Linked DNA regions of Arabidopsis thaliana. The protein of the gene in region 1 interacts with the protein of each later gene in a pairwise test. Each region holds a gene or a part of one and is shown in the gene's direction. Other genes may lie near its edges.

What was found.
Region 2: the proteins of MOS1 (region 1) and SUF4 interact in a two-hybrid assay, tested with the Arabidopsis thaliana proteins (one study listed by BioGRID).
Region 3: the proteins of MOS1 (region 1) and AT5G10350 interact in a protein complementation assay, tested with the Arabidopsis thaliana proteins (one study listed by BioGRID).

What each region holds. Positions count from the first base shown.
Region 1 is NC_003075.7:12,729,635-12,739,550, forward strand, and holds the start of MOS1 (modifier of snc1), read left to right. Parts: upstream 1-3,043; 5' UTR 3,044-3,168; exon of another isoform or gene 3,169-3,232; intron 3,233-3,750; 5' UTR 3,751-3,790; coding exon 3,791-3,819; intron 3,820-4,317; coding exon 4,318-4,401; intron 4,402-4,484; coding exon 4,485-4,529; intron 4,530-4,622; coding exon 4,623-4,992; intron 4,993-5,530; coding exon 5,531-5,633; intron 5,634-6,036; coding exon 6,037-6,153; intron 6,154-6,377; coding exon 6,378-7,455; intron 7,456-7,536; coding exon 7,537-7,765; intron 7,766-7,874; coding exon 7,875-9,916. Other genes in the region: TAR2 (tryptophan aminotransferase related 2), read right to left, coding at 813-1,060. UniProt on the Arabidopsis thaliana protein: Involved in the regulation of the chromatin structure and DNA methylation at the SNC1 locus. Regulates the expression of SNC1 at chromatin level.
Region 2 is NC_003070.9:11,038,787-11,046,917, reverse strand, and holds SUF4 (zinc finger (C2H2 type) family protein), read left to right. Parts: upstream 1-3,144; 5' UTR 3,145-3,324; coding exon 3,325-3,518; coding exon of another isoform or gene 3,519-3,522; intron 3,523-3,969; coding exon 3,970-4,070; intron 4,071-4,305; coding exon 4,306-4,435; intron 4,436-4,901; coding exon 4,902-5,311; intron 5,312-5,404; coding exon 5,405-5,547; intron 5,548-5,660; coding exon 5,661-5,858; 3' UTR 5,859-6,233; coding exon of another isoform or gene 6,234-6,305; 3' UTR 6,306-6,643; downstream 6,644-8,131. Other genes in the region: AT1G30972 (Plant thionin family protein), read right to left, coding at 2,008-2,247; AT1G30960 (GTP-binding family protein), read left to right, coding at 6,941-7,459, 7,656-7,745, 7,853-7,998. UniProt on the Arabidopsis thaliana protein: Sequence-specific DNA binding factor that recognizes the 5'-CCAAATTTTAAGTTT-3' sequence. Recruits the FRI-C complex to the FLC promoter. Required for FRI-mediated FLC activation, but has no effect on the expression of MAF1, MAF2, MAF3, MAF5, UFC and CO.
Region 3 is NC_003076.8:3,253,748-3,260,610, reverse strand, and holds AT5G10350 (RNA-binding (RRM/RBD/RNP motifs) family protein), read left to right. Parts: upstream 1-2,799; 5' UTR 2,800-2,864; coding exon 2,865-2,975; intron 2,976-3,065; coding exon 3,066-3,168; intron 3,169-3,310; coding exon 3,311-3,381; exon of another isoform or gene 3,382-4,397; coding exon 4,398-4,589; intron 4,590-4,671; coding exon 4,672-4,799; coding exon of another isoform or gene 4,800-4,803; exon of another isoform or gene 4,804-4,888; coding exon 4,889-4,937; 3' UTR 4,938-5,375; downstream 5,376-6,863. Other genes in the region: EMB3010 (Ribosomal protein S6e), read left to right, coding at 469-474, 565-629, 922-979, 1,073-1,181, 1,279-1,551, 1,639-1,877; AT5G10340 (F-box family protein), read right to left, coding at 5,566-6,764. UniProt on the Arabidopsis thaliana protein: Involved in the 3'-end formation of mRNA precursors (pre-mRNA) by the addition of a poly(A) tail of 200-250 nt to the upstream cleavage product.

The sequences.
Region 1 (9,916 bases):
AAGAATCAAAAGAGTTTTATATTCTGATGTACCAAGTGTCTCCTCAACCTAAATTTTTCAAACTTGAAACCCATTGGCTATCACTACACTAGATTAATTGCGAGCATCCAAAAAGAAACATCACTCACTACCATCCTTTCCTCTAACATACCAAATCCTTATTATAAAAAAAAAAGTCACTCTCTTCTTTACTTTCATTAACAAGAAGAATGGCCCATTTCCAATTTAAGTTTTAATACTTAACAGTTGACATTTATGACAAATATATCTAAATTCCCTAAAAAGAAAACAAATGGACCACCATGATCAATTTGCAAAGTTTTTTTGTGTGTTTGATGAGTCATAAGACTCATAACAAAGTAAATAACAGAACCAAATATTCAAACTAGCGGCGCACGTTAAGGAAAACAAGCATACGCAGAACCAAGACAGAACTATAGAAAACTTGTTAGAAAATATAGGCAAGTCAATGAAAGATCATTAGGAAAATAGAATCAAAACCTTTAGATTGACTATTTTATCCCTCTTTCAATGTTTGCATTTAAAATCGAATGGTGATTATTGCATAAAAGCTTGGAGCTTCACTTGCGTGCTTAAAGGATAATCTTAGATTCCTTGCTATATAATCAAGTATAGGATAAGGGAGAAATTTCTCTAAAGATTCTAGAGGATACGCCATTAATACACATTTATTATTCTGAACACCAAGAAAAAATAAACAAGCAATCAAAAATTCCACTATAGTGACAAGAACAGAACTTTCTTTAGAAAATTGTAATCTAGCACATGGAAGAGAGTAAGTAGAAACTTACAATTTGAGATTGATAATTCTATCATCGTCTTCTTCAATCTTGCTATAGTTGCAAGATGCTGAAGACAACGAAGAAGATTCTGAAGCCGTGGTGGATACCACGGGCCATATGCTAACATACGCTGTTCTGTCCCATGAATCTCCTCGTTCTCTATCACCCTTCAAAATCTTTAGAATCAAGCTGAAGTTGATGGCCAACGAGAGGACCAACATATTCCTCCAAGAAAGAAACCTCGGAATCTGTCCCATTTTCTCTCAAAACTAAAACACAAAACCAAGAAACAAGAATGCAAAATGCTTAAAGAAGAAGAGCAGAGTGGGATAGCTGGATAAAGACCTCTTTTAAAAAAAACAAAGGAAACAAACAAGTGGTGTCCAACGAGACTGATCCTTTTTTTGGCTGATATTCGAAGTTATGATTTTTGTAAGAGATTAAAATAACCCTTGAAGAATCTCAAGAGATAAAGGTATGTATAACAATGTGTTTATATTGGATTACGAACCTAACTCATGTACTTAACTCATAAATATTACCAATCACGATTTTAAGAAATTGAATTTTTAATCCTAGTAGACAAATTCTAAACTGAGACTACCTATCAAAATACCTGTAGAATTGCAGGCAGAGGATCAAAAGGTCACAGAACAAATTGGCCACAGTGAAAGGATCGCTAGAAGGCTTTTTATATGTAAACTGAAAAAGAAGAATGTGTAATTAGGTCGAAGCTCTTTGTTTGTTTCTCTCCACGATAAAAGATATTTCCCATTGGGAAAAAGTTATTGTATTTTGGCTTTGGCGTGAAGAGTTTCAGCTTTTCGGTTTGTCAATGGCAGACCTTGGAAACGACAGTACATGAACCGAGTGAGACACTGAATTTATTCAGGATCTCTGTTTACTAGTACAAGACTGGTGAATGCTTTATGTGTAACAATATTTTCTAGATTTACGTCACTTCTCTGTTTTCACATCTAATTAGATTAGCTTAAGGCTCATTATATTGACTATGTAATATTTTGCCCTATATATGTTTAGTGTAATTTACACATTTGGACAAAACGATTTAGGGTGAAATTGTTGTAATAACATATTTTGGGGTGTTGATTGTGAAAGTAACAAAGAGAAGAAAATAATCTCTGCAAGGGTAACATTAAAATAGATAAATGATCCATGGACCAAAATCTACATATTGCCACGGCCCAAATTGTTCAAGAGTTTAGCAAAGATCATATGGGCTGGATCCAAGAGGTTTATTATATTTGGTCATTGTTCAAGTATATTTGTTTTTTTGTTTTCTTTTCATACATTACTGTTTATTGAATATGATTCTATCAAAGGTGAAGTTGTATAAAATGGGGTGGGATCATCATTTGTAAGCATTCAAGTGTCTCGTTCTCTAACTTTCTTAAGTTTGTTGGCTTTCTCTCTAACTCTTAAGTATCAATTTGGAGAAAAGCACGAAAATTTAAAATATGCTAAGACTACTCGTAATAAATTAATAAAAATCAAACTATGCATTATCTAAAATCTTCTGTATATAAAATTTACACAAAATTTTAAAATTTGAAAAAAAATAAGCTAGCGTTGAGCTCAAATCCGCTCAAGATCATCCTCTAGCACCATGTACACAGTGCATGTACGAACACTTCCAACCCTCGATTACAAAACACCGGATTAATATATGATCTTTCCTTAGAATGAGTGTACTCCACAAAGAAACATGAGAGGTTTGGAAGATAAACATAAGCATTACCCAAAAAACCTTATTCATTTGATCATGCCTGCCATCGTCTTACTTCCCTAAACATGTCCTTAAAATGAAGAAGTGAACCTACCACATAATTCAATTTCTCCCCCATTTTTAACATTCGTAAAATGTAAAAGAAAGGAAACTATTTTGTTAAGTATTGTTTTTATGGCTATCCTTTTTTTTTTTTTTTTTGTCAAACTATGGCTATCTTTTAAAATGGGTAGGTAAATATATAAATGATGTTAATGAATAATACTACTCTTTTAATTTATATATATATTTTTGTTTTTTGGAGATAGGTGATCCTTTATTCGCTCTATTTTATTTTAATCGGCATTCATTTTACAATTCACAGGAAAAAAAAAAAGAGAGAGAGGAAAAGCTGAGTAAAACCGTGCAGCCCTGAACTTCGACGCTTTCTCCTCTTTCAACCAATCCGTTGAACGTCGTCGTAATAAGCTTCATCTTCATCAATCATCATCACTTTCTTCTTTCTCCCACAGATCCTTCCTTTTCTCCTTCATCTTCCCCTTCTTCCTTTTCCCTCATCGCCCAGGAACACATCCGATCTGCACCCTCTTCGTTCGATTCTCACAATTAATATCTAGGGTTTGCGAGGACCCCCCCTCTCTATTCAAAAAAAGAGAGCAGATTTTCTCTATAATCCCCTTTGGTCAGTTTCTTCTCTACCTTTTTTTCCCCTTTGTATTCCAGAGGAATCGAGTGATGAGTTTATAGAATTATCGCATTTTGAAGTAATTTGGGTCCTTTTGTAGAGCTTGATTGACATTTCTGGAGACATTTGTATGTTTCAGAGCTCTTTTTTTGTTGCTGTTGTTGTTCTAGCAAGTTGATTGCGAAATTGTCAACATTCTGGGAATACGTCAATTGTTTTTTTAGTATTGCGGTCATTTAGTCTGGAACCTCTTTTGATTCCGCAGTTTGACGATCTTTCATACTTTTAGGTTTCTGTACCAATTTGATTGTCGAACATTGTCTTTCTGTTATGATGGTGAATTTTAGAAAGTATTTCAATTCATGTTGGAGAATTTGTATAGGCAGTCTGATTCTGCAACACATTTCACGGTAGCAGTGTTATAGCAATAGTTCTTCAGTGTCGGTCTTGTTTGATTCTTTGGGATTTGAGCTTCAAATTTCATTTGTGAATCTGATTCTGTATGTGACTTACAGGTTTCAAGTGGTGTAATTGGATCGTGTAGCTGCTTTTATAATGACCTCTAGCACGACAGGAGATCGAAGGTTTCTCTTCTTTCAACTTTATCTTTGTCATGAACTTTTCTATGTTTTTATACTGGATTATGGGTTATATATTGGCCTCTTTGCACGTTACTTGCATGATTTTTCTTTTGATTTGGCCTTTTCTTCATATGAATTACTTGTTTTCGTTGTGCTGTATATTCCAACTGTTGTTAAAATATAGAATCACTATATGTGCCTGGGGTATAGAAGGAAACTCAGGGTGTGGTTTTTCTTTCTTTGAAAGAGCTTGCTTGCATGATAGACATTCACCATGTATTTGTAATAATTTTATTCAACATTATTATTGATTTGCAACATGCCAACATCACCATTTAGATTAAAAGAAGGGAAAGTTGTAAAATGTGTGTAGAAAACATATGTAAAGAGCTGATCGTTTTTTTAATAAATTGTATAATCATTTATACTTTGCTCATTTACACTTAAAGAGCTTTGTATCCTCTGTGGTGATGATGAGAAATTACATGTGCTGGATATTAGCAGATGGGGTACTACAAGAAGAAGTGGCATGACTATATTGGGAAAGGTTGCTGTTCCAAAACCGATTAACTTACCAAGCCAAAGGTATTTGATGAGCGCATGATCACATTTAGACTTCATATATATGTATAATCTCGTTCCCTGAACACTTCTCTTCTGAATTTAAGGTTAGAGAACCAAGGCCTTGACCCAAATGTAGAAATTGTTCCAAAGTAAGTTTGTACCTGTTTGAGATGCTATTTCCCTCATTCTTTTTCGTCCTCAAATTTTAGATGGTTTAATTTTCTTCTGGACATCTATTTTAGGGGAACACTTAGTTGGGGCAGTAAATCATCACTGAATGCTTGGGGGACATCATCCTTGTCACCACGAACTGAAAGTGGCCCTGGTTCACCAAGCCACCTCAGTAATCGACCTTCTTCTGGTGGAAGTGTCACTCGACCTTCAACTGCCGATAGTAACAAAGCACATGACTCTTCTTCTTCTGTTGCATGGGATTCGAACTCGCGGCCTTCATCAGCATCTGGGGTGTTTCCATCTAATCAGCCATCAGTTGCACTACAGCGTCCACATAGTGCAGACACAAGACCAGGAAGTTCCCAGTTATCCCGATTTGCTGAACCCGTGTCAGAGACTTCTGCAACATGGGGTCAACATGTGGCGCCAGAGAAGTTGGTATGGTTCTTCCCTTTAAAGTCGTCTCTAATATTTATCGGGACTCTGCTAAGCATCTTTTTTTATCCTTACATCTGTGAAGCTCCATGTCACTCTTCTCTTACTTCACTTGTGCTTAGTTACAACAAACACACAGCAAGTTCTTATGTTTTTGGGACTGTGAATGGTAATTACTTTTTGGGATTAATGATTGATATTCAATCTAGATAGAACTTTAATAGCTGGATACATCATTCGTGTTTGCTATGGGAACAAGATTAGGATGCTAAATTTGTCAAATTATAGGGCACTTATTTCTCTTAGAGAAATGCTTTGTAGTGCGTAAGATAATCTGACAACTGAGTGGCACATGGTCTCCAATAAGTCTCGAGTTCTGGTTGGGCAAATAGAATTTGATGGAAGGGTTTTTGTATTATTATTTGGCAAACTTCAATCTTCAAGGTTTTTTTTGAAGAATAGTTGTGTACAATTTACCCACCTTTGCATTATCTACCATGAAATTTATCTTCATTCTTAGACTTCTCATTGTTTTCTACAGGGAGTTGCTCCATCAAAGAATGATGGGTTTTCTTTGACTTCTGGAGATTTTCCTTCCCTTGGTGCTGAAAAGGACACTTCTGAAAAGAGTACAAGGCCACAAGGTACCATCTATTAACAGTAAAAATTATTGTGTCATCCATGCATTACAGTACTTTGATTTAAGAATAGTTCTCTTTGCTCTTTTCAAAAAGTACGATCAGCATGTAAACTAGGAAAAAAAAATTGTTTCAACTTGTACACAATTCAATCTTATACTCGTCGTCCTTGCCTTCAAGGGAGTGACGTTAGCACAGACGGGTTCATTTTGAAAGTTGGTACTTCTAAATGTAATTCTGTTGAGAAGTTTATCTACACGGATATTCAGCAAAGTTAAAACTTTCGGGAATGACCTTTTTTTTTGGCTTGCTGTTGGTTGACCACTTTTTCGATCTTAGATGACCTCCTAATATGTGCCACTGAGAATTTTAGGATTACCTAGATAGAATGTGATGTGCTTATATGAAGGAGATACGTTAGACATGGCTCTTAGAAACTACAAATTTGCAGATGCTGGACCTCACGCTCGTCCTCCATCTTCGTCTGGAAGATCTGTGGAAGGGCAAGGTGTAGATTGCACAGAAGGTTCTTACTTTCAAACCTATTTTTCTATGTTTTGGGGATATACAACAGATGTTGGCATCTCATTTCGAGAGTTACTTATGTTTATAATCATCTCTTATGAGAGGGCCATGTTACCCTCACAGGTGTTCATGTGAATTCTTCTTACTGCTTTATTCCCCGTACATCTTTTTAGTGGATGTTCTCGCGGACACTATATTTGACCATATCTTGTCTTTTATTTGCAGAAGCTAATGACCGGATTGGGGATGCCAATTCCTGGAGAAGAGAGAATCAACCATACAGTGAAGATGCACCTAGACATTGTAGAGAGGAAGGGCAATTGGACTCACGTGGTTCACAATCTTATCCTAATGCTAATTTTCCTCCTCGGTATGATGCTTGGCGTGGTCCTCCAGTAAATAATCATCAAGGAGGTGGCTGGTACGGAGGGAACCACCCGTATGGTGCCCCAATGGGTCCTGGGGGTTTTCACATGGATCCTTTTCCATTTTATCCTACGCAAGTTCCACCTGCTCCTGGACATGGGGCTGGTCCTAGGGGTAATCACGCTAATAATGAAAGAATGTTCAGACCTCCAATGCTTGACTCTTATGTCCACCCAAGGATGCAGACTAGGCCTGGGTTTTATGTTGGTCCAGCGCCACACGAAGGCTACTATGGTCCTCCCATGGGGTATGGCAGTCCCAGCAACAGAGACCTACCTTTTGCAGGTAGGCCTACTGGTCCGCATGCTTATAACAATCATTCTGGTCAAGGTGGATATGATACGCCTGGAAGTTCAGTGTCTTTGGAACGGAACGAGTCATCACATTCTCAAGAAACACAAAGGCCATACAAGGTTCTCCTAAAGCACCAAGATGGGAGGTTTGGGGAAGATAATGCAAAGCGGGAAGAATTTCTTGGAAATAGGCTCCCGAATGCAGAGAAGATAGCTCAACAGATGCAAACTTCAAGAAACGAGAGGAGAGAAATCAGAAATGACGCAAGTGGTGAAGTACAACCAGTCAAAGCAGAACTTGCTGCCCCTGGAGATCCTAGTTTGATTCAGAAAATCGAGGGCTTAAATGCAAAAACTAGAACTAATGATGGTTGGCAAAATTCGTCATCTGTTGTTAATAGAGATGAGCAGGAAAGCCAACCACGTACACTCAATTCTGGGAACTCTGCAAATAAAGTTTCAGCCAGAAATCATCGAACTGGTCATGCAAGTGACAGTAAGAACTCATCACACTATAATCAAGGTGATTCTGCCACAAACAAGAATGCTGAACCCGCAGCTATGGGTGGAACTAGCATATTCAGGTCAGTTATCATTTTTCAATTGTGTTTCGGCCAGTTATGCCATCCTTTATGTCGGGAAAGTTTTGATGTTAGTACCTACAGGAGACCTACTCAACAGACTCAAGGCAGAGCAGATCCGCAGACCAAACGAATAGTGAACAGTGAAGGCAATGATGCTTGGCAGAAGACAACTGTTATGTCAGGCTCCTCCCATACAACTTTAGCTACAAACACAGAAAGCTTTCGCGAGGTTAATGTCGATGACTCTTTGGATACCGAGTCCATCAGGAGGCCTGGGTCGGGAATATCAGCAGACCCAAAGGATAACCAGGTATAAACTAGTTCATATGATTCTGGTTGTTATTTATACTTTTATGTATCTCTTGTTTGTAGTCATCCTTTTTTGGTTTGACTGAGTGTTTGCCATGTTCCCTTAAAAGCGTTCTACGATGAGAGAGTTAGCCAGGCAGCGTGCTCAACAGAGGCAGAAAGAGGAGGAAGAAAGAGCGAGAGATCAGCGGGCTAAGGCTCTTGCAAAACTAGAAGAGTTAAATAGACGTTCCCAAATATATGAGGAGGGTTCAGTTAAGAACATGGAAGCTGCATCTAATGCTTCTCCGGCTGACATGCCAACAGATCCTGGATCTCATTCATCTAATGCTACAAATTCCGTAGAACCTACTGGAGGATCAGGAAAAAACACAACGCAAAACACGAGGACTTCAACAGAATATGCAAATAATGTGGGCCCTTCCCAACAGGATAATCTTCCACGTGATGGCGGTGCCTCAAAACAGAAGCGCTTGGGTTATAAGCAGAAGCAAAATATTATATTTGAGAAAAAACCGACAGGGAGCTCTGTTGCTACTGCAGAGGTGTTTGATGTTGTCCCGTCTCCTGAGGTTGTTAATGAAGGTGTCTCAAGCAATAACTCAGACATGCCAGCGACGTCAACCGTTTCAGCTGAGTCAACTTTCCCGAAAAGAAAAAATAACAGGAATGGTAAGAAAAAACACAAGGCTGAGGAGACAGCAACTATGAATACTACAAGAGTTGCCGTTGGAAAAGAAACAAAATCGGGAGATGAGTCAATTGAGACTGCTAGGGCAAGGGCAGCTGAAATTGAGTTGGGGTCTGTTTCAGTTCCAAGCCTGGATATCAAAGTGTCTGGTGATTCGTCTGAACAAATCAGTTCCTTCACTAATGAAGAGTCTCAAAACAGAGCTAAAAACAACTGGAAATCTCAACATGTGCGTAGGACTCAAAGAAACTCACTGGTAAATAAGCCTGCAGAGAAATTTTCTGGCAACAATGCTGTTATTTGGGCTCCAGTACATCCACAGCAAAAAGCTGATGTTTCCACTGGTGGAGGGAGTCAGACTACTGTCCCTGAGTTTGGCACCTCTTCAAAAAGTCAGCATCAAGGACAGACTAGTTCTAAAAGCAAAAGAGTGGAAATTGAAAGATATGTACCGAAGCCTATAGTAAAGGAAATGGCTGAGCAAATCGTCAGTAAAAATCTAGTAACCTCTGCTCCAGATATGTCGGAGAATGTAAACCAGAAAGAAAATCGTGGAGGTGAGGGTACAGGAATTCTCCAACCTTCTGGTTCAACTGCAGGGAAATCTGGGTCTCCTTCAAAGTCAAGACATGGGAATGGTAGGCAGGGAAAGCATGGTAGAGAACATGCATCATGGCACCAGAGAGGTTCTGGAGCACCTACTAAAGCTTTGGAGGATGGACAATTTGTAACCTCAAATCAGCCCATCCGAGGAACAGTGAACTATCACTCTAGTAAGCAAACCGAACAAATTGCTGCCAAGGATCAAACCACATGTAATAAGGATGGATGGAACGATGGCTGGTATATGACTCCTGAAACGCATTACTCTGCTGCCGAAGAAATGGAATCCAGTGCTGTTGGAAAAGATCAAGGAATGAGCATGCACGGCAGGCAGCATGCTTCAAGAAGCAACAAGGATGGAGGAAGCAACTATGGTGACCCTAAAAAAGGCAATAAGAGGGATTTCAATAAAGCTCATACGCAGCACTCTGGCCATGGGTTTAGCCAACCAGATTTGCCTGCTGCTTCAAAAGAAGGTCGTGTCCCTGGAGATCATGTGTGGCATACAGCTAATAGGACAGGTAAGTATGGTGGTCGTGAAAGTACAAGGGACAAACCTTATGGATCTCAGGAAAAAAATGTTGTTGGATACGAGCATCAAGGGTTTACTACAGAACAAAAAACGACATCAGCTGATACACAAGCCCAGTTGCAAAACCGATCTACCAATAAGGAGGTCCAGGTTGAGCAAAATCCGAATAGTATGTTCCAAAAGAACACAGGGCAGGGTCGACGGTTTGGAAGAGGGCAGGAGTCACAAGGAGGTTGGGGTTTACCGGCGCAAGAGAATATGCACCATCACCATCAGAGGCCACCTTCAAACAGAGATAGACAGAAGCAAAATCTGCATTATGAATA
Region 2 (8,131 bases), on another chromosome or scaffold:
CTTCTTCTTATTTGTTATAGGAATTGCTCTTCTTTTTTTTCTGGTCAAAGTTTCTTTGTAATAGAGACTAGTTACTTTTTTTGGTTACTCTTCTTCTGTTTTTTTCTCTATTTATAATATTTTCTAATAATTAAGTAATTCCTAACTCTTATCGTCTTTCTTCTTATGTGTTATAGGGATTCCTTTTTCTGGTCAAAGTTTCTTTGTAATAGAGATTAGTTATTTTGTTGGTTAATCTTCTTCTGTTTTTTCACACAGTATGTCTATTTTAAGTTAATTATGTCAGAAGTGGGGTTTGAACCCACGCCCTCTTACGAGGACCAGAACTTGACTCTAGCGCCTTAGACTAGTTACAATGGTTTGTTGTAAACCATTTTACAACTGGTGAAAAAACAAATTCCACTATAATGGTATTTTGTAATTGAAAAGTAGCTGATGTGGCAAATTTAGTGTTGATAAATTTTAACATCCGTGAAAGTAGAAGGGAGAAGATAAGTGTGACAAGTGTTATATTTTGATTGGTTGCTTTGATTTCTAATATTTTTGTTTCATCTTAATTATATAACTTCAATTATTTCATAATATTTATATATATTTATATATATATAATTTATATAAAATTTTATAAATTTTCATTCTCTATAAACAGAGACTATTTTCATTTGATTTAAATACAGAAAAAACCATTTTTAGACCCAAAAATAATGTATAGGTTAAAATATGAAATAAAAATGGTGGGGTAAGGTGTTGTAATTTTATTAAACAAAACTATTGTAAGATTAAAAATTATGTAGGTGTTGAATAATGATGTGGAAGAGAGAGAAAATAATGTGGAGTGTTAAAAGTGAAAAAGTGGGTGTTATAAATAGGTAATCATTGTAGATAGTCTTAGACTACTCGGCCATCCTAACGAGGACCAGAAGTGGAATAATATGATTATGTAACTTACTAAACATTTTGGAAAAATATACAATTAAGCAAGAGTTTTGGGTTCTTTACGAAATATTACACAAGAAAGTACCTTTTCTTATAAACACAAGAGAGTAACCATTAGCTAAAATGTACAATTAAACAAACATTGCACAAGTTGTAGAAAAATGTAAAAGCTTCGGATTTAAGCACAGAGAAACGGCAAAACAAGTGAGAGCCAATTTTGCTTCAATAGGAGAAACGTAGTAGTGGCAGTTTTATTTTAAATGTATAAATTGAAACAAAGTGTTTTTCTCTTGAAGCTGAACATAGATGGTTTCACTTTTGTCTCATGTAAATATGGTCATATGGATTTTGCTTTATCCACAAGGTATCACACTTTGAAATAACTAAAATAAAAAATATGAATCAAGAAAATCAATAAGCCGCTACATGTCACTTCCAAAATTATGAAATATGAGATTCGAATCTAAGAGGAGTCTTAAACTGTTAAACAGAGACGTGTTTACAGTCAAGAGAAATTTATAACATGGGACAAATTTTATTTTATTTTATTTAATAGCGTTACAAATTTACAATGATCATATTACATAAGGAGGATACAAAAGTAGAAGAAGAGCTAGTTTAAAAGTCCCAAGAGTCCAACACTGATTCATGACTCATCGTCTCTTCTATTTCTGCGCTTCCACTATACAAATTAGAACCATCGATTATTTTAACCTTTAGTTTTTCCAAATAATCTCTTGAGTTTAATTTAAAAAATAATATTTTCAGGACTATATGTATACCTAAACAGTGACAATGATGTTTCTAAGATTTAAAACACTTTATTACCGAAATATATCTCAAAATTTTACTATTTCAAAACGTTATGTTGCTATTTTATTTTTCACCACATTTTCGAAACATTAGCATACCGTTCAATCATTTGAACATTCCATTGTTAATCTATTATTATTATTACACTAGTCAAACTTACTTCAAATTTATTTATACAAAGGGGAATATATTTTATATAGTTAGTAAAAATCTCAATAATCATTAAAATAGATTTTCTTTGACATATTTCCAAAATTGTTAGATTGTTTGTTTGTTTTTACCTTCTGAAAAATGGTTACCTAATGTACGACGAGGTTTGCCGGGACATCGACGGTAACAATTCTGAAGGCACGTGATCGGAATTCTTCCTGTGGTGGCACAACCTAGAATGCAATCTTCATGGCATTGAGCTTTCGTCTCTCCATTGACATTTTCCATTGCTATAACCATTGTCACCACAAACACCATTATAATCATTGAATTCCATTTAGCACCCATATCTTTAACTTTTTTGTTGTTGCAAGTGTTTCATGTACTTAAGAAATAATGAATAGCTATCCTCTATTTATAATCTTTTCTAATAGTTATCTAATTCTTAGCTCTTATCGTCTCTTCTTCTTATTTGTTATAGGAATTGCTCTTCTTTTTTTTTCCTGGTCAAAGTTTCTTTGTAATAGAGACTAGTTACTTTTTTGGTTAATCTTCTTCTGTTTTTTTCTCTATTTATAATCTTTTCTAATAGTTATGTAATTCTTAGCTCTTATAGTCTCTTCTTCTTATCTGTTACATGGATTCCTTTTTTCTGGTCAAAGTTTCTTTGTAAGAGAGATTACTTACTTTGTTGGTTAATCTTCTTCTGTTTTCTCACAGTTTATTTTAAGTTAATTTGAGATTAAGTTAATTTGAGATTTCATTGGACAAAGAAAATTAACTCTTGAAAGAATAAAAAATTATGTCAGAAGTGGGGTTTGAACCCACACCCTCTTACGAGGACCAAAACTTGAGTCTAAGGCCTTAGAGCATCCACATTGGTCACTTATATGTAGATGTCTTTAAATATAAAACTATAAATAATAATAATAAAAAAATTATGAATGTTTTTAGTTTGAGATTTGTGTTTCTGTAGAGACACTTTAAACACAACAAAAGTGAAATGTCTTTAATTTTATTATTTATTTATACTAAAAACATCTATAAAAAGTTGTCTAATGAGGTTGCTCTTAGACCACTTGACCATCCTAACGGATAACATAACCAATACTAATAGTATCATTATATAACTTACTAAGCATTTTGGAAAAATATATAATTAAACAAGAGTTATGGGTTCTTTACGAAATATTACACAAGAAAGTACCTTTTCTTATAAATACAAGATAGTAACCATTAGATAAAGTAAAAATAAATAAAAAACAGAGAATCTGAAGATCGTAGAAGAAATCGAGAAAACGCTTTGTACCAATTAGAAACCCTAGCGAGCGGAGGAAGGAGACAAAGAACGAGACTTTTGAGAGATTGGAGATTTCAATTTTGAGATCAAATCTTGAAATCAACAAATAGGAGAAAGATTTAGTGATGGGTAAGAAGAAGAAGAGAGCTACAGAGAAGGTGTGGTGTTATTACTGCGATAGAGAGTTTGATGATGAGAAGATTCTTGTGCAGCATCAGAAAGCTAAGCACTTTAAGTGTCATGTCTGTCATAAGAAGCTTTCTACAGCTAGTGGCATGGTGATTCATGTTCTTCAGGTTCATAAAGAGAATGTTACAAAGTATGTGCCTTTTCTTTTTACCCTTTCCCTATGGCTCTTTTTGTTGTGTTAGGTTGATTTGGAATATTAGGGTTGTTGCCTCTATGATCTTTGTTCAAGTTCTGATTTTTTTTTTGCTCTTGTTGTGTGTGATTGTCGTTTGATTTCTGTTAGATTGCGCTAATTGTGACTGTTGTGTTGTGGTTTGAATCGGTTGATTGTGTATGTTTGCTGGAATTTGAATCGTTTTTTTGGATTATCTCTTGAATGGGTTTGGTTAATTTGTATATGTCTGGTCATAAACCCTAATTTCTGATTGCAATTTTTGTAAAGAAACAGTCTTTTGCTTTTGCTTTTGCTTGATAGGTTTTTCTTGGAATTTGTGGTACTGTTCAATGTGTTTGCCTGTTGAATTTGGAATTTGATTCCATGACACTACTAACTTTGAAATTATCTACAATTTTCACACCAGAGTTCCTAATGCTAAAGACGGTCGAGATTCAACTGATATTGAAATATATGGAATGCAAGGAATTCCACCCCATGTCTTGACTGCTCATTATGGAGAAGAAGGTATGCATTTGAGATAGTGAGAGTACTGTTTAGATTATGAGCAATTGATTTAGAGAAGTAAGGCGATAAATTTGTATGTCTCTTCATCAAGTGTTGTAGATCTATTGCATCTAGTGGTCATGAATTCGTTTTGATTTTGCATGCGGCTTTTTGCCTTATCAAAGTTATTATATATTATTGTTATGTTTGCTTGTTTCATATGGTACCTTTTGAACTGAAGTCATGTTTTCTGCAGAGGATGAGCCTCCAGCCAAAGTTGCAAAAGTTGAGATTCCTTCTGCCCCTCTTGGTGGTGTAGTTCCTAGACCATATGGAATGGTATATCCGCCTCAACAAGTACCTGGTGCTGTACCTGCACGACCAATGTATGTACTAATTATACTATACTCTCTCTATGGCCGTTACTTGTTGAATTCTTAGATGTTGTCTCTGTTTTTAAAAATCCGATCCATGCTAAATGATGGGGAACTTTTTTTCTTTTAGTTCTCTTGATGCAAAAGGTTCTTGGTTTCTTTAGTTTGTCTCTGTCCTAGAACTTTTCTACTTTTGTTCTTCTATAAGACCACTATAACACCCGTAGTAAACATTTTTTGAAATAGATCGTTATCTAAGATATTGTTGCACTTAACCAACTATGACCCATAAGGTTCTTAGTTTCCCTAGCTTGTTCTCGTGATTTTTCAGGATAGAACTTTGTCCTAGAACCATTCTTTTGCTCCTCTTCAAGACCACAATAACACCTGTAGTAAACAGTTTTTTGAAATAGTTCATGATCTTAGATATTGTAATATGTATGGCTATTGACCATGATAAAATATTTCGTGTTAGCAGGTATTATCCGGGTCCTCCTATGCGTCATCCTGCTCCTGTATGGCAAATGCCACCTCCTCGTCCGCAACAATGGTATCCTCAAAATCCAGCTCTTTCTGTACCTCCAGCTGCCCATTTAGGGTATCGACCACAACCACTTTTTCCTGTTCAAAATATGGGGATGACTCCAACTCCAACCTCAGCTCCTGCCATACAACCATCACCAGTCACTGGAGTAACTCCTCCTGGAATTCCTACATCATCACCTGCAATGCCAGTTCCTCAACCTCTGTTCCCTGTTGTGAATAACAGCATTCCTTCTCAAGCTCCACCATTTTCTGCTCCTCTGCCTGTTGGTGGGGCTCAGCAACCATCTCATGCAGATGCTTTAGGATCAGCAGATGCTTATCCGCCTAACAATTCTATTCCAGGTTCAATCCCAAGTTCGTAGAATCATTGACTTACATTTGGTTTAGCTGTTTTGTATCAAATTGTAATATCTTTTTCATGTTTTGTTGCCGTAGGTGGGACTAATGCTCATTCTTATGCCTCTGGCCCAAACACTAGCGGTCCTTCAATTGGTCCACCTCCTGTAATTGCAAACAAAGCTCCTAGCAATCAGCCTAATGAGGTCTATCTTGTATGGGATGATGAAGCGATGTCTATGGTTAGTTTATTCCTAATTTCTTATGCATCATGTTGGAATGGTTACAATTGGAAAAGTTTCGAGTAATGAACCATTTGGTTTTCCAATCTGACGCAATGTGTCTGTATCTGCAGGAGGAAAGAAGAATGTCCTTACCAAAATACAAAGTGCACGATGAAACCAGCCAGGTAAGTTCTGATTTACCCTTTTTAAAGTTAAGAAGAGTTTGCTTTTGCAAGTCTAACCCATTCGGTAGGCTTTATTTATACATTTCTGTTCCAGATCCTATTGTTTCTGTGCTAAGAGGTACCACCGTATTATTCAGTTTATAATTTCTTCCCTTAGAATATGATAAGAAGGACTTAGGCAAGAAACTTGAGCATTTTGAATCAATGTTCGAAAGGTATCATTTGTAGCTTGCAATAGTAGGTAGTGAGAAACATAGCGTTTGTATCTGTTTGTTTTTCATTATATTTCCTGTCTATTGTATTGTATTAAAAATGTGGTGATTGGTTCCACAAGATCATACTCTACAGGTTTGGTTTCAAACCCAGGTCAGCTCTTTTTATATTCTTAACTCTGCAAAGTTTGGTACCTTTGCACAATCTCACTGCCTTGGGGAACCAAAACAATACGCACTTAACTCTTTCAAAATAAAGCATCCAACTTCTTAACTCAACACCAAGTTTGTTTCTTTTGGTTTGCAGATGAACTCGATAAATGCAGCGATAGACAGACGAATCTCAGAGAGTAGGCTTGCTGGGCGGATGGCGTTTTAGAATTTGGCACCAAACCAAACCAGCGTCAAAGAAAAGGCGATATGGATGAAGGCTTTGTTACAACAACAAGTCTTCACTCACTTTTGTTCAGATACTGAATTTATGATCTGATTTTAAGTTATTAACTTTCCATCTGTTGTATTCTTTAGCCAGGTGAGTTAGTTTACCATTACATTGTTTAGGGATCTCAGAGATGTTTTTTCTCAGAAGTTTAGTCCTTTTTTTTTTTGGTCGTTGGAGACTTGGAGGAAGAACTTTGTCTCCTTTTCTTCTGAATTGATCAAAGTATTATATTATACAGATTCACCCAAAATGTTTGCACCATGTTGTTCAATATTTTGCCAAAACAAAATTGACTAATATTCCTTCCATTAACTGTATATTCAAACTCCAATTGATACGATTAGTATGAATTTTTGTTGTATTGCTACTTTGCTAGTAGTAATTATATCGAATACAAAGTTAGGGACTACGTTGGATTTGTCAAAAAGTGAGGGGCCTATCTGTAATATTGAGTTACTTTGTCACCACTTCCCCAAAACATCAAAACCTCTAAAACCCTCGGAAGCCTCTTCTGTTACATTTCGTTCAAATCTGTACTTCTCCGAGATCGCTACTTCGCCATTGTTACAAAAATGAAAGCTTTTAGATCTCTACGTATACTAATTTCCATCTCACGAACGACGACGAAGACAACACCTCGTAATCCCCATCAAGCACAAAACTTTCTCCGCCGATTTTACTCAGCGCAGCCGAATCTAGACGAACCCACTTCCATCAATGAAGACGGATCAAGCAGCGACTCTGTTTTCGATAGTAGTCAATACCCAATCGACGATTCCAATGTAGATTCCGTGAAGAAGCCCAAGGAAGCAACTTGGGATAAAGGGTACAGAGAAAGAGTAAACAAAGCCTTCTTTGGAAACTTGACAGAGAAAGGTAAAGTGAAAGTTGCAGAAGAAGAGAGTTCTGAAGATGATGAGGATAGTGTTGATAGGTCAAGGATTCTCGCTAAGGCTCTCTTAGAGGCTGCGTTAGAGTCACCAGATGAAGAACTTGGTGAAGGTGAAGTTAGAGAAGAAGATCAGAAGTCGCTTAATGTCGGCATCATCGGTCCACCTAATGCAGGAAAATCTTCGCTGACTAATTTCATGGTTGGCTCATTTCCTTAATTTCACATTCCTGTGATTTGGTCTCTGAGAATCAATTGAGACATTGTGTATATGTTTATGTAGTGCTGCTATGACTCTTGATTAGTCCTAAAGTTGCAATTTTTGAAGTGATTGTGTATCTTTGTTTATTGCATCTTGATGAGAGTTATGCTTAGTGTTTCGTTATGTCCAAGTGTAGGTTGGAACAAAGGTTGCTGCTGCTTCACGGAAGACTAACACGACGACACATGAAGTGTTAGGAGTATTGACAAAAGGAGATACACAAGTCGTAAGTTTTCTCTTATATATCTGTTGCATATGTAAACTACTCGTTATGGTTAGTTGTGGAGATCAGCCATTCGTAGATTGAATTTTTGATATTTGTGAACCTTGCAGTGTTTCTTCGATACTCCGGGTCTGATGCTGAAGAAAAGCGGATATGGTTACAAAGACATCAAGGCTCGTGTGCAAAATGCTTGGACTTCTGTTGACCTGTTTGATGTCCTCATTGTTATGTTTGATGTCCATAGGCATCTCATGAGGTTAGTCGTTTACTAGTTTTTGTACTTTGTTAGCTTTACATAAGTTATCTCGGAACTGAGAGTAGTATGGTTATGAGCATCATCATCAAGTGGGGTATCTTAGGGTGGGATTATTATTTCTAGCTTCTCTGTT
Region 3 (6,863 bases), on another chromosome or scaffold:
TTTATTTAACTTTTTTTTTCACTAGAAATTGGATTTCATTTATTAAGATTTTTTATTTTAATATTAGTTTGTAGTATTATATTTGAGTTCTCTAATTCTAATTTAAAATATATTTTCTACTATTTAAAAATTATTCTGATTTAATTTAATATTAGATAAATGTTTGCTCTCATTTTTATTTTCTATCTTATATTTTAATTAAGTTTAAATGAAATTTATAGTACTATTTATAAAAATTTAGAATTGTTGTCCATAACTTTTTTTTAACAATTTTTTGTCAATTGCCCAAATTTAATTATGGGCCCATAAAATGTAGGCCCAATTCAATTAAACCTACCTATTGGTTCTCCTATAAGTTGCTTCTCTCAACTTTCTCGCAAAACCCTAAAAGCTGAGCCGCGTCGAGAGCATTTTATATCTTCAATCATCTTACGCAGGCTGTTGTAGCAGCAGTGTCTATCGGAGACGATGAAGGTGGCTCCATCTTTTTCTTCTCATCAATTCTGTTCTCGTTTATCTCTTTGTTATTTCGTTTGATTCAATCGATTTTGGTTTGTGTCGCAGTTCAACGTCGCCAATCCGACCACCGGGTGTCAAAAGAAACTCGAGATCGATGACGATCAAAAACTGTAAGATCTTTGCTTTAAATCACATTTTCTTCATGGATTTGTTTACATTTGGCTTATTGAGTGTAGAGTGTGAACAATCTGCTATGAAGTTCGTAAAATTCTTTGAATCCAAACCTTTGAATCGTAGGATAGTTACTATTTCACACTGCTAGGATCTGTTTATAGCTGATGCATTACTGGAATCTATGATGTTTACTGCGTTGGTCTGATATATAACCAGTTCTGAATCTGAAAATCAACATTGTCGATTTTGGTAAAGATATTGAGTTTCATTTCTGTTGTTTTGATGCAGCCGCGCCTTTTTCGACAAGAGGCTCTCTCAGGAAGTTAGCGGAGATGCTCTAGGCGAGGTGAAATTTTTTCTCCTGGTTCAGTGTTTTTTTCTGATGTCTTGTGAGTTCAGTATACTTAACAGAATTGTGTGTGTTTTGAGCTATTTGCAGGAATTCAAGGGATACGTATTCAAGATCATGGGAGGATGTGACAAGCAAGGTTTCCCAATGAAACAAGGAGTTCTCACTCCAGGGCGTGTCCGTCTTTTGCTTCACCGAGGTACTAGATTCCACCCCATTGATAAAATTATACAGCTTCTCTTTTTTTCATTAATCTTCTGTGTTTTTTATTTATGTGATCTGGTTATTGTGTTTAGGTACTCCTTGTTTTAGAGGACACGGAAGGAGGACTGGAGAGAGGAGACGAAAGTCTGTCCGTGGTTGCATTGTGAGCCCTGACCTGTCTGTTCTTAACTTGGTCATTGTGAAGAAGGGTGTAAGTGATCTTCCCGGGCTTACCGACACTGAGAAGCCAAGAATGAGAGGTCCCAAGAGGGCATCAAAGATCCGCAAGTTGTTTAACCTTGGAAAAGAGGATGATGTGAGGAAGTACGTTAACACTTACCGCCGTACCTTCACAAACAAGAAGGGTAAGAAAATTAGATTCACTTAAAGAGATAATTGAAAACTGTTTATACGATTGATGATTTACTAATATATGAGGCTTCCATGTGCAGGCAAGAAGGTTAGCAAGGCTCCTAAGATCCAGAGGCTTGTGACTCCATTGACCCTCCAGAGGAAGAGAGCTAGAATTGCTGACAAGAAGAAGAGAATCGCCAAGGCTAACTCTGATGCAGCTGATTACCAGAAGCTTCTTGCCTCCAGACTAAAGGAGCAGCGTGATCGCCGTAGTGAAAGTTTGGCCAAGAAGAGGTCTAGACTCTCTTCTGCTCCTGCTAAACCCGTTGCTGCTTAAACTGCCTCAAGATTAAGAAATTTCTTTCTCTCTAGTTTGTTTCTGGTCGTATTTAAGTTGCTCCACAGACATGAGAACGCCATTTTGAACACTATTTTTGGTTTCTGTTTTGTGTCAACTTTTCAAGCCTTTTATTATATCAAAGTTTTGAACCTCTTAGTAGTACGTTTGTTATATTTAGTTCTTATTTATATGCCCGTTTGTTGATAGTAAATGACCAGATGTCTTCATTATTAGATAAACTGATGACCTACCTTTAAAGTGTTTTTTCCAAAAAGTGTAATGTTTTGAACCAAAACTCAATCTCGATTAAACTCTTTTAATATGGAGACCCGTCGCTGAAGACTGACTCCTTTCTTCAAGCTGGTGTTGATCGGAGACTATGGAGTCGGAGAATCGCTTCTACTGTCTCCTTATGCCATCTTCGCCGAAATCCTCTGTTTTACAACAGTGGTAAGTAAAAAACTAAAAAGGTTGGAAGAAGACGAAGAACTTTGCTTAACTGCAATTAAAATTTATTTATTTAACAAATGGCTGTAGATATGTTTTGGGGAAAAGTCATTCTTATCAATACCTTTGGAATAATTTGGATCAAACTGTATCATATTTTTGTGGATAATTTGTCTCTGATATAAATTAATCTGATCCATATTATGCAGTATTATTTCACAGACCTCTTAATTTGGTCCATAAATTTAATTTGATCCATGATATAATTTGATAAATTATTCACAAGCCTGTTTCTTCCATAATGTTTGGGGCCTATGATGGGCCGAATTGAATTTTGAAGAAAAATCAAAACCTTCAGATTCAGTTAGAGTGTTATGATAATGGGCTCTTGTAAGTTTGTAACCGAGGCCCAATACGAGACGACGTCGTTGTTTGCAATCGACCTATCTGGATCGGTAGGAAAAGTGTGCAAGTCGTTTTCATTCACCAAAGCGAAGCTTTATTCGTTTGCTTGAGCTCCGAAGAGTGGAAACAAAAATGGAGGAAGAAGAGCACGAGGTTTACGGTGGAGAAATCCCTGAAGTCGGCGATACGGATGTTCCCGATCCGGATATCGATATGTCTGCAGCCGATGAGGACGCCGTTACGGTCTACTTCTGCTTCGTTCGATTTTGATTTTGTTGTATATCGTGTGTATACATCTGTTTGATTTTTGGTGTTTTGATTTCATGGAATCAGGAGCTTGCTGAGATGAAGAGGAGATTAAAGGAGATGGAGGAAGAAGCTGCTGCGCTACGAGAGATGCAAGCAAAAGTCGAAAAAGAAATGGGAGCTACTCAAGGTTTTGTGACTCTTTCGTTTTTTTTTTGAATTCGTTTGCTCGAGACTATCTTTGAATTTGATATACTAGGAGGAATCTGTTGATTGTGTAGATTACTTTTAGGAAATTGAACTTCTGTTTCTTGCTTAACAATTTGTTTCAGATCCTGCTAGTATGGCTGCAAATCAAGAAGGAAAGGAGGAGGTGGATGCTCGATCAGTTTATGTTGGCAATGTAAGATAGCTTATTTTCTACTTCATGGTATCTCTTCTGTGCTTGAATCATTGTTTCATCTAAACGGCTTTGATCTGTTTGCCAATCTTAGTGTGGATTAGCTTAGGCTGACTATTTTGTTAACTTAAATTTCATCTTTGATAAAAGAACTGCTTGCAATTGTGTCTTAGCTTTGTTCTTTATCCCTTGAGATTACTGTTAGAATCTGTATCAAGAGGCTTTCTCTAAATTTAATGTTGTGAAGTAGGTTCTTTATTGTTTCTAGTTGAAGAGTTTGACCTCTATGTCCTATATAATCGCAGGGTTGTTCTCATAAATGAAGTTCTTAATAGCTCTGGGTTCTCAACTAAGTTTTGTGACTGTTTTGCTAGTTTCCTTGTTGTAGTGTTAAAATCATTCTTCCCGTGCAATTTGATGATAAAAAAGCTATAAAAAAAATGTTGAAAGTAAAAAGAAAAGAGAAGGAAAAAAATTTGAAAAAAAAAAAAAAAGATATAGCAGAAAAATGTGGAGAAAAATATTGCATGAGCTTGAAAAAAAAAAGAAGGATTTCTTGAGAGGAAAAAGGGAGTCTGAGTGAGTTGGGTGGGATTAGAAAGCAAGGTTTCTGTTATCCTTGAGGAGATGGTCTCTGAACTCTGAAGAGCTGGATCAAGATGCCAAGATGCTGGATGCTTTCTAAACAAGACCCAAAGCTCCGCAGGGAGGATACTTGGAGCTAATACAGGTTTGGTTGTTTGCGGATTTCGCGAGAGGCTGCAGTTTGATGCTGGCCTTTTATCATGTATTTTTGAACTCACGCTCATAAAATGAAGACTTTCATAGCGTTTATGTACCATACATAACTTAGGTCTAATGTTAGACATGGAAAATTGCTTTAGAACACACAAGTTTGTCTCTTGGCTTCCCTTAGTGGGGTGGTTAACTTATCTATCTGTTACGTTCTCAGTAAGTCATGGTTTTAGTTGTAATAAGAATGCTTGTGTTGTACTAAGACCTCATTATCCACCCTGCAGGTCGACTATGCCTGTACACCTGAAGAAGTGCAACTACATTTCCAAACATGCGGAACAGTCAACCGGGTAACCATTCTAATGGACAAGTTTGGACAGCCAAAGGGATTTGCTTATGTGGAGTTTGTAGAAGTGGAAGCCGTGCAAGAAGCTCTGCAGCTGAATGAATCAGAGCTTCATGGTCGTCAACTGAAGGTATCTTCTCGTACTAAGACCAATACTGAAGGAAATGGACAGTTCATTGATCTCAACTCTTCTCTTTTGGTTTTCATTTCAGGTCTCGCCTAAGCGAACCAATGTTCCTGGAATGAAACAGTATCATCCTGGGCGTTTCAACCCTTCAATGGGATACCGCTTTCGCAGACCCTTTGTGCCTCCGTATTTTTATTCCCCATATGGATACGGGTAAGTTTAAACTCTGCATATTTACCATCAGTTTATCACAAATGGCTTTCTCTTCTTCGTCTCACGAGACTCGGCAATGCCTCGTGCAGGAAGGCTCCTAGGTTCAGAAGGCCAATGCGGTACATGCCTTACCAATAGAAACCGTACCGGAATAAGAAGAACTATGACAGAGATGATGCCGAGGTCGTCCCTCCATTTCGAGCTTTATATATGAATATGACTTTGCTCGCACCTGAACTTAATTTTGAATCTGTCATGTACGGATGAGATTATAAGCTTTTGTTTCTTTAGATTATGATTATATTTGGTCGATATTACTTTCAGTTTATATCTTTGTTAGTACTTTCTTTCATCCAAAGGGGGCTAAATAAGTATACCAACAAGAAGATTGATGTTACGTAGAGAAGCCTTTGTAAGAAGCTATTATGTTTCCGCAAAAAATCCCTTAGTCAGAAGCTAACCTTTACTAATCAATGATGTATGGTATAATCAAATCCCTTATTCCTTATAGTATTTGTTATCTTTTCGGTTTGGAGAATCGATGATTACAGAGTAAAAAAAAGAATAATGTTTTTTCTTCTCGTCATTAGTACTTTTGATGTATGGTATAATCAAAACATTAAATTTATGAAAATTTGTAATGTGATGTTGATATTGATAAAACATAGTAATTCATAACCCAGTGAGTAAACTAATCAGAAACTAGAATGCTTGGACAAATAACGACCAAAAAAGAATGCTTGGACAAATAACCAATCATTCAAGTCTACAAAATAGAAATTAAACTCGGGAAATAACAAACAACAGTTGCACAGCGATTAGATGTGTAAGGCAAATCATAAGATTTGGTATCTGGATCATGTGTTAGGAATGCATCCCCGTGTGTACTATCATAAAACAATAACTTGTCCTTGTCCAAAACTGCTAGTGGGGTGAATGCGAATATGGCACTAAAGAACAAAGAAGAGGTGATAATGAGGTCTATGGAATATATTTGCTTCCATGTCTTGTGGTCTGAATCATCCAACGACCATATGACTTGGTTGGGCCACTTTTGCTCGGATACGCACAAACGATCACCGAGGTTGCACATGACGATATAATATTCATCAGAGACATTGAGAAAGGGAGCTTTAGAGATGACTTGGAACGTTTCGGAGTGAAGATCCAAAGACAAAACCATGGTTTCGCCCTCGTGTGACAAGGCAGTGAACCAGTGAAGTGACCCGTCTACATAAACAGGATCTTGGGTGTGAAGAATCAGATGAGGGGACGCGGGGAAAACGTACCTCCAAGCGTTGGTGGCAAAATCGAAAACTTCACAAGTAGTAGGCTTGTCATTTAGGTCTAACTCAGCGGAATTATATAACCAAACTGGCTTGTAAGTGCCACTGATTTTGTCTTTGCCAAATCCAGGAGTAGGGCATGCGACTTTAAAGCACTCGTGTCTCTCACCCTTGTCGGCAGCGACTAGTTGATAGTTGCATTTAGGGAAAGTTCGATGCCATCGAGTGGTGGGATTGACGACAATACTCGGCAGTTCATAGAAACTAAAGAGGCATATCAGACCATCACAGCTAGTATTGCAAACGAAGTACAACTTGTCCTCCCAAGGAGTAGGGATCTGAACAGAAGCTGCAGATGACTCCACCAAAAAAGTTCTCAGAGCTTCAAAGCTGCTTATGCTTGGATCTTGTTGACGAGCACAAGGATCATATAAGGACACCAAAAGCACATGTGGATCTCCTGATGATTGGCTAAGATGGTGGATCAACTGTCTTTCTTGGAAACTAGGGGATTGGATTGTAGACATCCATTGCTTCGATACAGACTTGAACTTGAGGAGGGTTTTCACATCAAGCCTCACCATTATATGATACTCTATCACATCGTGTGGTAACAATTCTTCCATACTTGTCTCTGAATCTCTCAATGTTATAGATTGAAGACAAGAGCCTCCGTATGCTTTATTTATAAACCAAACCTATCACCCTAGTCAGAGTCCGAGAAAAATAAAAGGGTAGATCAGTAAATCTAGAAACTGTTTTCTTTTTTTTTTTGATT